Linked DNA regions of Caenorhabditis elegans. The protein of the gene in region 2 interacts with the protein of the main gene of each other region in a biochemical or structural test. Each region holds a gene or a part of one and is shown on either strand. Other genes may lie near its edges. The genes, in order: cpna-1 and lim-9.

Region 1 (6,454 bases), on a different chromosome or scaffold from region 2:
GTGACAATGCCCTCATCACTCTTGGCTACGTCGTGAACGGTCTATCGATTGTCTCTCTAGCTTTTCTTACGTTTTTTAGTATCTCTGCCTAGTAAGTTTTGGCTTATTCTTATAGAGAATTGCTGCTGAGAAGTCCAAAATTTTAGTATAAACTCTCTCGCCAACAGCCGACTCTACAGTTATGTCCGGGGTCATAATCTGGCTCGTCGGGACTTTCTTGCTCTTATCTACCATTTTGATCTTCTTCTCTTTTACGTGTTCTTCACAGTGTTCTCAAATCAAGATGTCTCAGGTGATATGTGCACAGCGATGGCAGCTGTGATGTACGCTTTGCTTTTGTGGTGAGTAGGCATTGCCCGCTTCGGGCCCTTCTAGCGTCATACCGGTAGTTCTATGTGTCATGGTAGCGTCACGGCTACGCCACAACCATTCTCACAATTCTAATCAATAATATTCTTTTCAGCTCTCTATTTCTCACAATTTTCCAAGCTCTTCGAAATATCCTCGTTTTCCTGCCAACTCCAGCCTACAGGCTGCTTAACATATGTTTTGGAACAGTGCCAGTTCTCATCACGTCAGTAGGTATGATAATTTTTTTGCCCGAAAATTCTAAACAACCCCCTAAATATTACAGCTCTCCCCTTTATTCTTTCAATATTTCTGCTAGTCTTCACAAAATTCTTCGACCGCCAGGACTGCTTCTGCTGGGTACGACCCGACTACATAGTGGCTGCAATTATCATTCCAGTAACTGTACTTTTACTGAGTACGGTAGTATGCACTAGTTTCATGATCTACAAAGTTTTTTGTGGAATGAAAAGGAAATTTAGTCAAGGGGTAAGTTCTTGCAAGGAAATCTAATAAGTCTGAAATAAAATTTCCAGGGTCACCACTACGATCCAAATGTGATCACGAAGATAGTATCCATAGTTGTAATGCAAATCTCACTAGGTCTTCCATGGATCCTTCAATTCGGAACCCTCTACTCCCCATACACCACCTTCTGGCACTACACCTTCACCATAGTCTTAGGGTCTCAGGGAACAATTTTACTGCTCATTTTCCTCTACAAGCGATATCGAGCTTGGCAAGCTGATAGTACGCTCAAGTCTCGAGGACAGAGCTACTCGAAGAACTCGACAAAACGAACGAAGCTGGTCGAAGAGGAGAACAGTTTAGGATCAAGTACAGATACTTTTAATGAATATTGACCTCAGTGTTTTTTGTGTATATAGGAAGTTATTATAAATAAAAAATATTTTTCTGAAAAAGTAACGTACTTGGTAATCGAAGTGACTTGTGGTGCAGGGACGTCAGCTCGTTTTGGAGCAGTTGGTGTCATTGGTCTAAAAATTTGAAAAATTAGCTTGGTAAAATGCATAGTAGGTACTTATTTGAGCGTGCCTGCCTGCCTGCTCACCTACCAGCTTACCTAGGCCTTCATACCAACCTTCAGCTCATTCTCGCTCAGTGTAGTTTTAACACAATTTTATCAATTTTATTAACCACGAAATGTAAAAAAAGAATCTAAATCTAATTTGGAACTAGGCGCATGTGTAGGCACTTGGTAGGCGTAGGTAGCCTTCAATGCAGGTAGGCAAATCAGAGCAGGCCTAGCATGCCTAACAGGTCGTATAAATATCTCGGAAAAGTTCCCAACATTGTTGCAAACTTGAACAATACTCTTATAGGCAGGCACGCCTTCAAGGCTACCTACCTACCTGCCTGCCTACCTAACTACGAAACTGTGTTTTAGGCATTCACTTTTTTTTGAAAAATTTCCAAATGCTTTGCTCATTTTTTGAACTTTCACTAAAATTTGAACCATAAAAATAGCCTAAAACTTACTGAATCTGTGCTGCTCCACTATGGCTCTCGTAGGAGATGTGAGAAGCTGGTGCAAAGTGATCATAGGCTTTTTGAGACGAATCCAAGTCTGTCGAATCACCTCCAACTTCATGATCCAAAAGCTTCTTCAGACGGTCAGCTTCGAGAAGGGCCTTCTCCTTTTCCCAGTCCTGAAGGGCTCGCTCGTCTCTGGAAATTGAATTTGCTCTTTGTAAATTGAAAACCCAAACTAAGATTAAAAAAAACTCACTGCTCACTGAGCCGCTTCTCCCTTCCCAGCTTCTTTGTTACTGGTTGGAATGCTCCTGAAGCTTGTTGCTCAGCGATCAGAGCTCCAGCCCCGGGAGACAGCTGAGAAATGTCCACGAACTGCTGCTGGTTGTAACGGGCTTGAGATGCTGGGGACAGTTGGGAGAAATCAAAGTATGGTTGCTGTGGATGTGTCTGGATTTGCAGTGGTGATGGTTGCTGGATTGGCTGGAAGACTCCCTGCTGTTGCAGTTGCTGATGAGCTAACTGAGCATGTTGAAGCTGTTGAAGTTGAGCTGGGGTCTTCTGTCCAAGCTGTCCAAGTTGCTCGGAGATCTGATTCATCCGCTGATGAGCTGGAGCATCGTAGATATCAAACTCGTGAAGCAGCTGCTGGTCAGTCGGAGATATCGGAACCGGTTGAACGATTTTGTGTTGGGGTACCGGAGGTGGTTGGTGTTGCTGAGCATAATATTGCTCGGCAGCTGTTTTGAGATGAGGTGGAACATGCTCAAAGTCGTGCCCGAATGCGGATTCTTCCGGTGCAATAGATGGAATTTGCTCGAATTGGGTGGAATCGCGGGATGTTGGAGACAGGTCCATGTTCTTTGTCTCGTGGAGGTGATTGTTGACGGAAGAGAGCACGGTGTCGAACTTCTCTCTGGTGGCGTCGATGGGGTGGCTGAAAATCTGAGATTTTTGACATGCCTATGTGATACCTATTTCGGGCTTTCCACACTTCTGCGTTGCAGCTATGCCTACTCCATACCTGCCTGCCTACGTGCCATTTTCATGCATGCCTCCCTATGTGCAACGTGCCTATACCTGACCCAGGTGTCTCTGCCTACGTGCATTTCTAATGAATATACGTGCCTATCATATTCCTGCTTGCCAACATGTCTAACTACGTGCCTACGCTTGACTTATGTTTGCCTGCCTAGTTCATGCCTACCTAACTACTTCAGGCCTGCCTATTCCATACCTGCTCCCTAATGCCGAAAATGTGATTCTTGTTCTCACACTTACCCTAAATTCAAATCCACCTCCAAGCTCGGGAACTTATTTGCAGCCTGCTCAGCGAACTGATGGACGTTATTTTGAACTGAGTGAGCTTGTTCTTTCAGATATTGGTCGGCTTCACGCATCAGCTCTTCAGCGCTTTCTGGGATGTGTTGCTGCTGAAATTCCTTTTTTTTCAAGATCTATTCTCAACACCTACCACTTGTTCTTTCACATCATGAAGCTTGTCACCGGCCTTGGCCAGGACGCTTTCTACCGAAGTTTGTGGCTCTTCCTTCTCGCCTGACTCCTTCTTATTCTTGTCATCGAGAAGTTTGAAGAAGTAGTAGACGAAGGCTATGGCGGCAAACGTGAGCATGTAGCGGGTGAAGCCGGAGAACACGAGAAAATGCTCCGGCTCCGGGCATTCCTCCCACTCGTCCGGGTCGTACCCGAGACGCGCGTCGAATACCATACCGACTCGCCTGGAAATGGAGAAATTGAGCTAATGGATAAAGGTGATCAAAAATTAAAACAATACAAATTTTTGATAGTTTAGAAGCAGCTGATGGAAGTTAGATGATCAAATAGATAAAAAAGAAACTGGAGAATTTCAGAAATTTGGAAATTTTTGAAGACTTTTTAAAAATCTTAAAAGAGTACCAAAATCTGAAATGTTACTTTTTTAGACACAAAAACCCAAAACTTCCGAATTTTGTTATGAGAAGTTCTGAAACTTTCTCAAAAAAATGGTATAAAGATTCAAAATTTTGGAAAAAGCTTTTTTCAATAGGCTAGTACGCTTTTTTGTGGCCTGCCTGCCTACTTGCCTGCCTATGCCTCTTTTCTGGACATGAGCTCTAGATCAATTTGTGTCTGCCCTAAAAATAATCAGTGAAAAAATAGCGAAATTTTTGAAAATCAACTTGTTCCAATTTTTCCAATTTTAAAGCTTCCTACTTGGAGCCAATTAATACAAAAATTATGAATATTCAAACAATTTTTCAACAAAATTCCAAAAAAAAGACGAAGATCTTTTGATCATTCAAAACCTTCAAAATTTGTGCTCTTTTCTTCAGCACAAAGAACTCTTTTTGTCATTTTTTTCTGCATTTTATACTTGAAAAGCCTTGCTCAAGTTACCAGCTTCCGTCCCCTTCTACAATGTAATGCAGTTGAGGGACGGGACGGGGGACACGGAAAAAATGGCTCTCAAGTCGCGACGATGAGGCAGAAAGCTGGCGGCTCTGCGATGGCAAAACTTGTGAAGAAGAGAAGAGGCAAAACAACAGTGAAAAGCCATGAACTCTTTTGCTGTCAACCAACTCTCTGTGATTTGGGTGGAGTGGTAGTAGTTGAAAGGGATACACAAAATGAGGAAGATATTAAATGGAAAATATTGAGGGAAGAAAAAAACAACATTTGTTGAGCGCCAAAAACATGCGGAACGGCGGTGTTCCAGTAGTTGAAAAAAATAGAATATTTGCAAAAATTGTAGAAAACTTTTGGGAGTTTCCCTTGGCAGGAAAATTGGGAAAATGTTTCAGACGAAAGTCCTGAAATCTTACAAATCCCAAAAATCATTGTTATCCTAACCTAAAAGCTACCGTTCGCAATGAGAACATTGTGCCAAATTTTGATGGCAATTACGTGGGTTGTCCCATTTCGGTTTGATCTACGTAGATCTACAAAAAATGCGGGAGTTGAGACGCAGAGATCTCAACTGAGTTCGCAAGGTTCAGAACTTGCTGACGTCACATTTTTGAGCATAAAATTCCCGCATTTTTTGTAGATCAAAGCGTAATGGGAAAACCTGAAACCACATGGGCAAGGTGTATTCACAGCCCTTTTAAGAACATAGCAAAACTAATGTTGGTTTGTACTAAAAAATATTTTCTGGGACGGTTTTTTTTAATTTTTCAAATAGTTCAGAAAACTTTCTAACAGAAAAAGTTCATCATATTAAAGTTGAAATTTCAAAACAAAAAACTATTTTTCAAAAATACTTTCACATCTAGCCGAATTGATATGGGAAATGAAAATATTTCAATTTGAAAAAAATACGTGCACTATTTTAAATATAGCTAAAAATATAGTTTATAAAAATGAAAATTTTTCTCTAACAAAAGTTATTAAAAAGTTACGAAATTCGAGAGAAAGTTTTTAAAAATCTTGAGCAAAAAAATGTTGCTTTCAGAATTTTGTATACCTTCCTAGAGATCTGGACAAAACCTAGGAAAAAAAGTAAATTTTCACCGTTTCAGAAAATATCTGAAGTTATGCTTTAAACTCTTCAAACTGGAAAAATAAATTAGGAAAAATTTCCAAATTTTCGTCAATCAATTGGCATTAATCCACTTTGAAAGATTATATCTTGATTACTTTTTAGATTATCAAAAACAGCTAAACTATAAAAATATAGTTCAAGGTTTGACACGTGGTTTCAGACTGTCCCATCACAGTTTGATCTACAAAAATGCGGGAGTTTTTTGTTAAAAAATGTGACGTCAGCGTCTCAACTCCCGCATTTTTTGTAGATCTACGTAAATCAAACCAAAATAAGACACCCTGACACCACGTGGTTTTAATCTATACTTTTTCAGCTTAACATTTTTTTAAAATCAAAACCAGTGACAACTAGGCCAAAGTTGAGCAAAAATAATTTGATTTCAAATTTCTGATTCAAAAATTGAGGAACGCTTTAGAGAAAACATAAAGCTATTGGTTTTTAAATTTTTTCAAGTTTTTCAAAAATCAAACAAGTTAGGCACTCGATCTAGACAAGTAAATAAATATTGGGGGTGGGAGGTGGAGACAGAGAGACAAATCATTTCGAAAATCAAAAGCTTCTTGCTCGATGAAATCAATCCTCTTCCTCTCTCCATCTCTCCCAGAAGGAGAGGTAGGAAGAGAAAGAAAGTTGTAGTACAGCCTCCCCCCGGGCGGGATGAATAGAGAGTATTAAAATGTTGGAGGATGGACGAGAGAAAGAGAGGGAAATGGAGCAGTTGTTTCTGATGGTGGGAACGGGGTGAAGAAGAGATGCGGGAAGAAGAAGATGGAGGTGGAGGAGAGAGGAGGAGGATCGAAATTGAAACGAAATAATGAGGCAAAATTTTGATCTATGGATGCTTGGTGGTGTGATATGATGGACAATGAGCATTGCGTCATGCTCTAAGTTCGTAAACAATGCACCGAGGCGTAAAATAGGCGCCTTTTCAGTAGCCCTCTCCCGCGCCCTACCGGCAGCCTTATGTTCACATTTATTTTAAAAATTTAATATACTTTTGTGTTACCTACCTCGGTTTGCGGAATTTATCGTTGTCTCCGTTTTCCGATTTTAAAAATTGAAAATGCA
Region 2 (6,710 bases):
AGAAGAACAGGAGCGTTTAGAGATGCTTTTCCAGTCATTATCAGAAGATCAGAAGAACTTCGTCAAGACGAATAACCTTAGTGTGTCTATTGAGGACGATGCCAACACTCCTGAACTTAGAAGGATCTTGAGACAAACCAGAGAACTCAAGAGAAAGCAACAGGAAATTGTGAGTCTATATCAAGTTTGACAGATTATTTAATGGTGGACTCAACAGTCAAAAAACGAAACATTTTTTGCTTTAAATGAGAGAACAGATCATAATGACCACATATAACTGTAAAAAATTGAACATTTTTCTAAATTTTTTAATGGGTTTTTTAAAAATTTTGTAACAATAAAAGAAGCGACTGATAAGGCCCGCCGAGATATTCGTTTTCCTGGAAAATTTGAATGGATTTTCTTTTCTCATCTGGCGTCTCAAATGGAAGCACAAAAAAATCCGAGAAAAACCAGTAAAATTAGCTGTAAAAACGGATATCTCTAAAAAGTGGTCAGGGCCTGGTTAAAAATGGTTAAAAGTTTCAGGCGAGAAAACTGGGAAACATCGAGAGAAATGCGTTAGCTGTTCGTGATGGCGGGGAGGATTCGTCCGACAGTAGATCAGATGCTGGGCACGATGTTGCTATCCTTCACGGTGACGACAGTCAACTCTTCGAAAATTCAATGCAATTGGATCAGAAATCTCAATTGCAAAATGATGAGACTCAAATTCTTGAGAATAAAAAGAAGGCAGCTGTTGTCATTCAGAAAATGATACGTGGTTTCATTGCACGGCGTAAATTCCAAATGGAAATTAGCAATATTCGCAATCGCATGATCCAATACAATCACATATTGGCGCAAGAAGACGAGCAAATTGGTATAGAAGAAATGGAGGATAAATCAGTCGAGGCAAAGTGAGAACTCTTTTTTTTTTAAATATATTTAAAAAAATTGATTTTCAGGCTAAAGAAATGCGCTCTTCATGGACTCACAAATGATAACCTTCACGTCGTTCATGTTGCTGCAACTGTCATCGGTATGTCGCAAATGAAAATTACGAAGAAGCTGCTTTTTGATCTGAAAGTCATAGAAACCAAAAGTTTATGAATATGCCGCCATGGATGATTTTCTTCGTCAATTGCAAAACCATACAACACATAGAAATGTTCATATTTTGCAGACCGAGTCACCGATCTTGTTCCATCACTTTTGGAAAAGCTTGTCGTCGAACTGAATGGCATCAAGTCGATCACTGATGTTTTGATTGTGGCGGATCGAGGATTCTCTTATACGAGCATTCTTCATCCATTATTGAATGTTCTCGAAAAATTATTCACGAAGATTCCCGAAGAAGTCACCAATTCGCATATTCTCCCTCACTTGAAGATTTTGTCGCCTCGCTTGATGCTACTGATGCTGAAGCACTCGGAAGTCAAGGAATTGTTTATTCCTATCATTAACACCTTGACTTCAATTGCTAGAAGATTCCCAGACAAAAAGCAATCGAGTTTTTCTTCATCAAGCTACTCAATCAAGCAGTCGCTCAAAAAAGTCAAGGATCAGGAGTGTCGGAATAAATTGGTCAGATTGGAAAGCATATGCGAAGATATGCTCTAAATTAGTCTCTGTTAAATATTAAATTCATCCCACCGTTTTGTGTATCATATCGTGAAAAAATACACACGGTTTAATTATTTTTATGTGAATATTTACCAATAAGATCAGTCAACCTGATGCTTATTTGGATTTTTTGGTATTTCATATTTGTTTCTTAAAGTCTGTTGTGAAGTAAAAACTTGATTTTAAATACTACCGTTTTTTTTAGAGTATGATGAATTTAGCTACTTTTAGAAATTCAAGAAGTCTGCTATTTTTCTCTGTTCCCTCTTTAAAATTTTTGAGTTTTGCACTTGTTGCGTAGCAGATGGCTCATCCGATTTGCAAATAGTTACTCGTCTTACTCTCCGTTCGCATTACACAGTAACCCTCCGACCATCTTTTTCTGCTCTTTTTTGTACTTTGTCACGTCATTCGGCTCCTGCTCCGCCTACTCAAAATTTTTATGGTTTTTTTCGAAAGTTTGAGAGAAGTAGTACTCGTTTTTCCGAATTTTTAAAATATTGTTCATTAGTTTTTATTAATTCCAGCTATATGCAGTGCCGGCCAAAAGTTGGTGATTTTTCAACAACAAAAAAAAATCAAAAGTAGCTACTTAAGTAGTAATTTTAAAAAACTTACCAGACAGGATTTTCATTATAACTTTGTCTAGATTTTGCTTTCCTCTGGAAAAAAAGTTGAAGCGGCTGACATCTACAGGAATAGATTTGTATATGTTCTCTTGCAACACATGTTTTTGAATTCTAAAGGCGCGTATGGGTCTCGCCACGTGGGAAACGAGTTTCTGTAACTCATGTCGGTTTACGGGTCACTAAAAGTTGTATCATCATTTTCAAAAATAGAAATTACTGACAAGATTTATTTAGAAAAAATAATTGTGCAATAGCGGCCCGTACATTAATACGAGTTACAGTAACCCGTTGTTCGAATGGCGAGACCATTGCACGTCTACGTAATAACAATTTGGCAGCAATTTAGACAATATTATCAATGTTTTGTCTTTACACAGTTTTTTAATTATTAGTTTTTGAGGTATTGTTTGGTTGAAAAATCACGAGAATAAGTCAAAGACGCATATAATTTGGCCGATATTGTGCTCGCATTTTCCCGATTTTCGTATTCAAGAAAATGGTCAGAAGATCATTTGGAATAGAAGTAGAAAATCTTCAAAATTTTTCTTTTTCTTTTATTTTATTCTATACAAATAGACACTTGAACTAATATAATAAGTACTTAACAGAAGTAGAACTCTTTTCAACTTGGCCCCCTCTCTGTAATATGTCTGACAATGTTGGTCCAAGAGAATTGTCAAATGCATTCAAATATCTTCTTGCCTATCAATTAGATTCGTAAGTTTTTTTTTCACAAAATGGAAAATTGATAGTTATGGATAGATCTCTGAAAAAAAACATCTTAAAATAGTAGATAATACTTTCCACCCAATTTTTTTGAATTCATAAACTTATAAAGGCATATTAGTAGCTTTTGTAAAATGTGTTCGAGAAGTTATTTATTCAATAAAAATGTGTAAAAAACGGTAAACCATTTAGATACCAAAAAAACCAGATCTTGCCATTTTTCTTCTAAAAGACACGACAAAAATTAGGTATTGTCAAGTGTGGGTTACTGTATCTGGATGTTTCTCTCTCTCGGGTATGACCTTTTGTCCAATCATGGAAAGTTCACCAAACTTATTCTGGAGTTATGCATAATTTATTTGTAATATTAAAACTTCAGGAGAGTCATGGTAATAAACTTAAAGTAGAAGAGTTCAAAATTCTCTTCAAAAAAAGTGTTTAGAAACCAGTAAGAACCCTTTCAAACTCTACATTTCTTCCTTCTAAACCCCGCTGTAATCCTTCTGTGATCAATTTTTCAAAATGACTACAAGTGACATAACTGCCAGTTTTAAGGCACACTTTTCTGCAATCTTCCGGAAGAAGATGTTCGAGACTTATTTGTTCTTTCAAATCGACTGGCCAATATCATTTATACAATTTAATGTGGAACGTCGCCTATAAGAAAATTGTTTGAAACCAATTAATTCGTTGCTAAAATGTAAAAAGCTTTGAAAGATATTTTTATTTGCAGTCGAAAAGTGGAAATTTTTTTACCAATAAATTTCCGTCAAAATTTAGCGATTCACCAATACTTTGACAGAAATTTTTGAACGACCTAAAGTTTTTTGAAGCGTTTAATTATTTTTTAAAGTCATGTTGGAGTGTATTTGTAGCACATATCCCGGAGTACTTTTTGGGGTACACAATTTATATTTCTCGATATATAACTATGCAACACAAATAGAGTACCTAATCAATTGAAGATCAATTGATATATATGCCATATTCGGGAAGTGTGTGTGAATCTCTGAGTCTCTCAAATCCAAATGATATTTCTCATTTCATAATATATTTTCTCATTATCTTGTTGTCATTATCCACTATCTTCATAATCCAATCGTCTCTTCCTTCAAAAAGTGAAAATAAACATAAAATTGGCAATTTTCGATATGATCATGAAGTGACCACACCCTGGCTTTCCTTTAATAGTGACACACAATTTGAGAAATTAAATGTTTTTTGAACGAATTTCTCAAATTTCTGTTCTTGTTTTTGAACCCTCGTGATTTTCATTTTATTTATTGATTTTCAATTTCAAAACTAGTCGATTTTTTTATTGCATTGCAAAAATAATTTCTCCAATTAAAAACAAATTACCACTTGCAAATTAAATTATAATTCTGATAGAACATTTTTGGCTTTGAATTAAAAACTAGAAAATATTTTGACACTTTGAAAGTAATATTGCCTATTTCCTTTTTCAATTTCATACCTATTTTGAGAGAGCTTACGATAAGTTTTAGTCGAAAATTGAAAGTTAATTGCAAACAGCAGAAACATGTTTTAATGTTTAGCCATTCACTTTATTGGAAAATGTTTTAAATTATTTAATTTTCAGAATCGCTCAAGACGGAGTAATGCCATCTGCTCATGGAGCTCTTCACAAATTATTGTGCTCGTGTTATTCAAAAAACACCGAAGTGGTTGATATCTATGATATGCCGGAAAATAATAATGCGCAGGTTGGATATTTTCATTCAAAATCACAATACCTGAAACAATGGTTGTTCCATTAAAAGACGTATTGTGTCGGCCATTTCCCTCAAAATCTTGCACGACACATGCTATCCGACTAGACATCATATTGTAGACAACAATTTCAGCTTGTTTAAAAAAAAATTAAAAAAAGTAAAATTTGCTTCGAATTCTTTCTAACTTTTAAATTTTTTAAACAGGAAAAAGAAGATCATTACACAAAAAGAGCAATAGATATCGGAGAAACAAAAAAAAGATTGGAACTTCTTCCACCACCTCCAACATCTTCATCGCCCCGGCCAACATCTTCTAATTCAATTATTCAAAAAAGTGATGGAAAACGAAAAGATCAGAAGAATGAGAAACAAGCATCTCCGATCATCGTGGAAGTTTACGATGACACACCTCAATCAAAGGTACGTATTTATTTCAGTTATTCTCTATGTTATCAGTAATTGCATTTTCTTTTTTATTAAAAAAGAAATCTTTACGTTTTGGCTGGTCTAATAAGCTTCATACTGAATTCAAGCTTCTCCCAAAATTTCTATTCAACTAATTCAAAGTATTGTACTTCCCACTTTAAAAGTACATCTTTTTCTTGCAAACGTTCATTTCCTTATTGCAACATCATTTTCTTTTTCTTGTTCCTTTCTCTGAATCATACTGTCAATTAGTAGTTATCAGTGTCATATCACATGATATCTCAAAAAAGTGTGCCAATTGGAACCCTTTTTTTTTTTGACTTTTCGTTTAATTGATGATACGATTGATCTTTAGTTTGGTGGTTGAACAAATTTTATTTCTTCGATTTTAATTTAGCTAAAAGTAAAGTTTAGTTATCTTGAATGTATACGAAAACATAACGAATGTTAACATGCTAATTCCCAAACTATGTTTTGGAAAATTCAACTTTAAAAAAGCGTGAAAAAAAAAATTCCCACCTTATTCATTATTGACTTCAATAGTAAAAACGTCCGAAAATATTAAGAAAAAATTAAATACTGTGCTCGTATTTCATCAATTTTGGAATTCGAATTTATTTTCTCAGAAATGTGACTCATTGCACGCGACAGAAATACGGTTAAGACAGTAAAACATCTGAAAAGTACTTTTTTTGTTAAAAATATCCGGCTTTTTTGGTGCCATTTTAAGAGTTATATAGATAACGTTTTTTTTTAAACAATATTGGTTTTCACTGAAATTTTCAGAACTAATTAATTTTGTAGTCGAAACATGTTAGGAAAGTTTTGGAAAAAAATTGTTGGAATTGTTCAACAGAAATTTTCAAAAAAGTACATGTTTTCCTGATCATCAACTCTAAGAAAGGTATGTTTATCAAATTAGGAATTTTTTAATTGCAAGAATAAGATTAAAACTTCCGAATCCAAATTTCTAAGAAAATTCTAAGTAACACTTTTTTAATTATTGATACCCGACACCAGTCTCTGTGGTTTGAATAAATATTTTGGCATACTGTAACTTTGAATATGCATTTGTTGATTTTTCCTGTCTATGAAGAAAAAACTCAAACATACAACTAAAGCTTATGGATAAATAAATGAATCTTCAATGTTCAATGTGAACACTTTTACAGAAATGAATAGAAAATGATATCCATGTCATCTGAATCTATTTCTTCAACCCTCACATCTTTACATCTGATCGTGTTCGTACTTAATTTCAAATTCAGATGAATTATATGAAATGACCTTGTCACCTCGTCGTCTTGATGATCATCCCACTTTTTCTCTTTATTCTCACAAGTTTTTCCCATTTTCTCCTATTTTCTCCAGGGTTAGTGATTGATGTTACCTATGCAAAATTGAATGTTTTCGTTTAAAATCATTGAACCCAGTTTGGGCGTTAAAAATGCTAATTTCAAATGTATCTCTGAAACAGTTTCTGAAAGTGAACAGACATAAATTTAAACCGTGAAATCCTATTTTTTGGGAATATGATATCGCCATAATTTTTTATTGAAATTGTGTTAAAACTTCCTAAAACTGATAGTGA

What was found.
Region 1: the proteins of lim-9 (region 2) and cpna-1 interact in far-western blotting, tested with the Caenorhabditis elegans proteins (one study listed by BioGRID).

The regions. Positions count from the first base shown.
Region 1 is NC_003280.10:4,183,793-4,190,246, reverse strand, and holds the start of cpna-1 (Copine family protein 1), read right to left. Parts: upstream 3,572-6,454; coding exon 3,317-3,571; intron 3,276-3,316; coding exon 3,124-3,275; intron 2,780-3,123; coding exon 2,099-2,779; intron 2,038-2,098; coding exon 1,849-2,037; intron 1,347-1,848; coding exon 1,281-1,346; intron 1,272-1,280; exon of another isoform or gene 1,212-1,271; coding exon of another isoform or gene 885-1,211; intron 838-884; coding exon of another isoform or gene 635-837; intron 583-634; coding exon of another isoform or gene 464-582; intron 342-463; coding exon of another isoform or gene 147-341; intron 92-146; coding exon of another isoform or gene 1-91. Other genes in the region: mth-2 (GPS domain-containing protein), read left to right, coding at 1-91, 147-341, 464-582, 635-837, 885-1,211. UniProt on the Caenorhabditis elegans protein: Involved in the assembly of dense bodies and M lines during body wall muscle development.
Region 2 is NC_003279.8:9,216,899-9,223,608, reverse strand, and holds the start of lim-9 (Protein espinas), read left to right. Parts: upstream 1-2,880; coding exon 2,881-2,951; intron 2,952-4,560; coding exon 4,561-4,684; intron 4,685-4,897; coding exon 4,898-5,113; intron 5,114-6,710. Other genes in the region: aspm-1 (Calponin-homology (CH) domain-containing protein), read left to right, coding at 1-169, 529-899, 948-1,021, 1,166-1,602.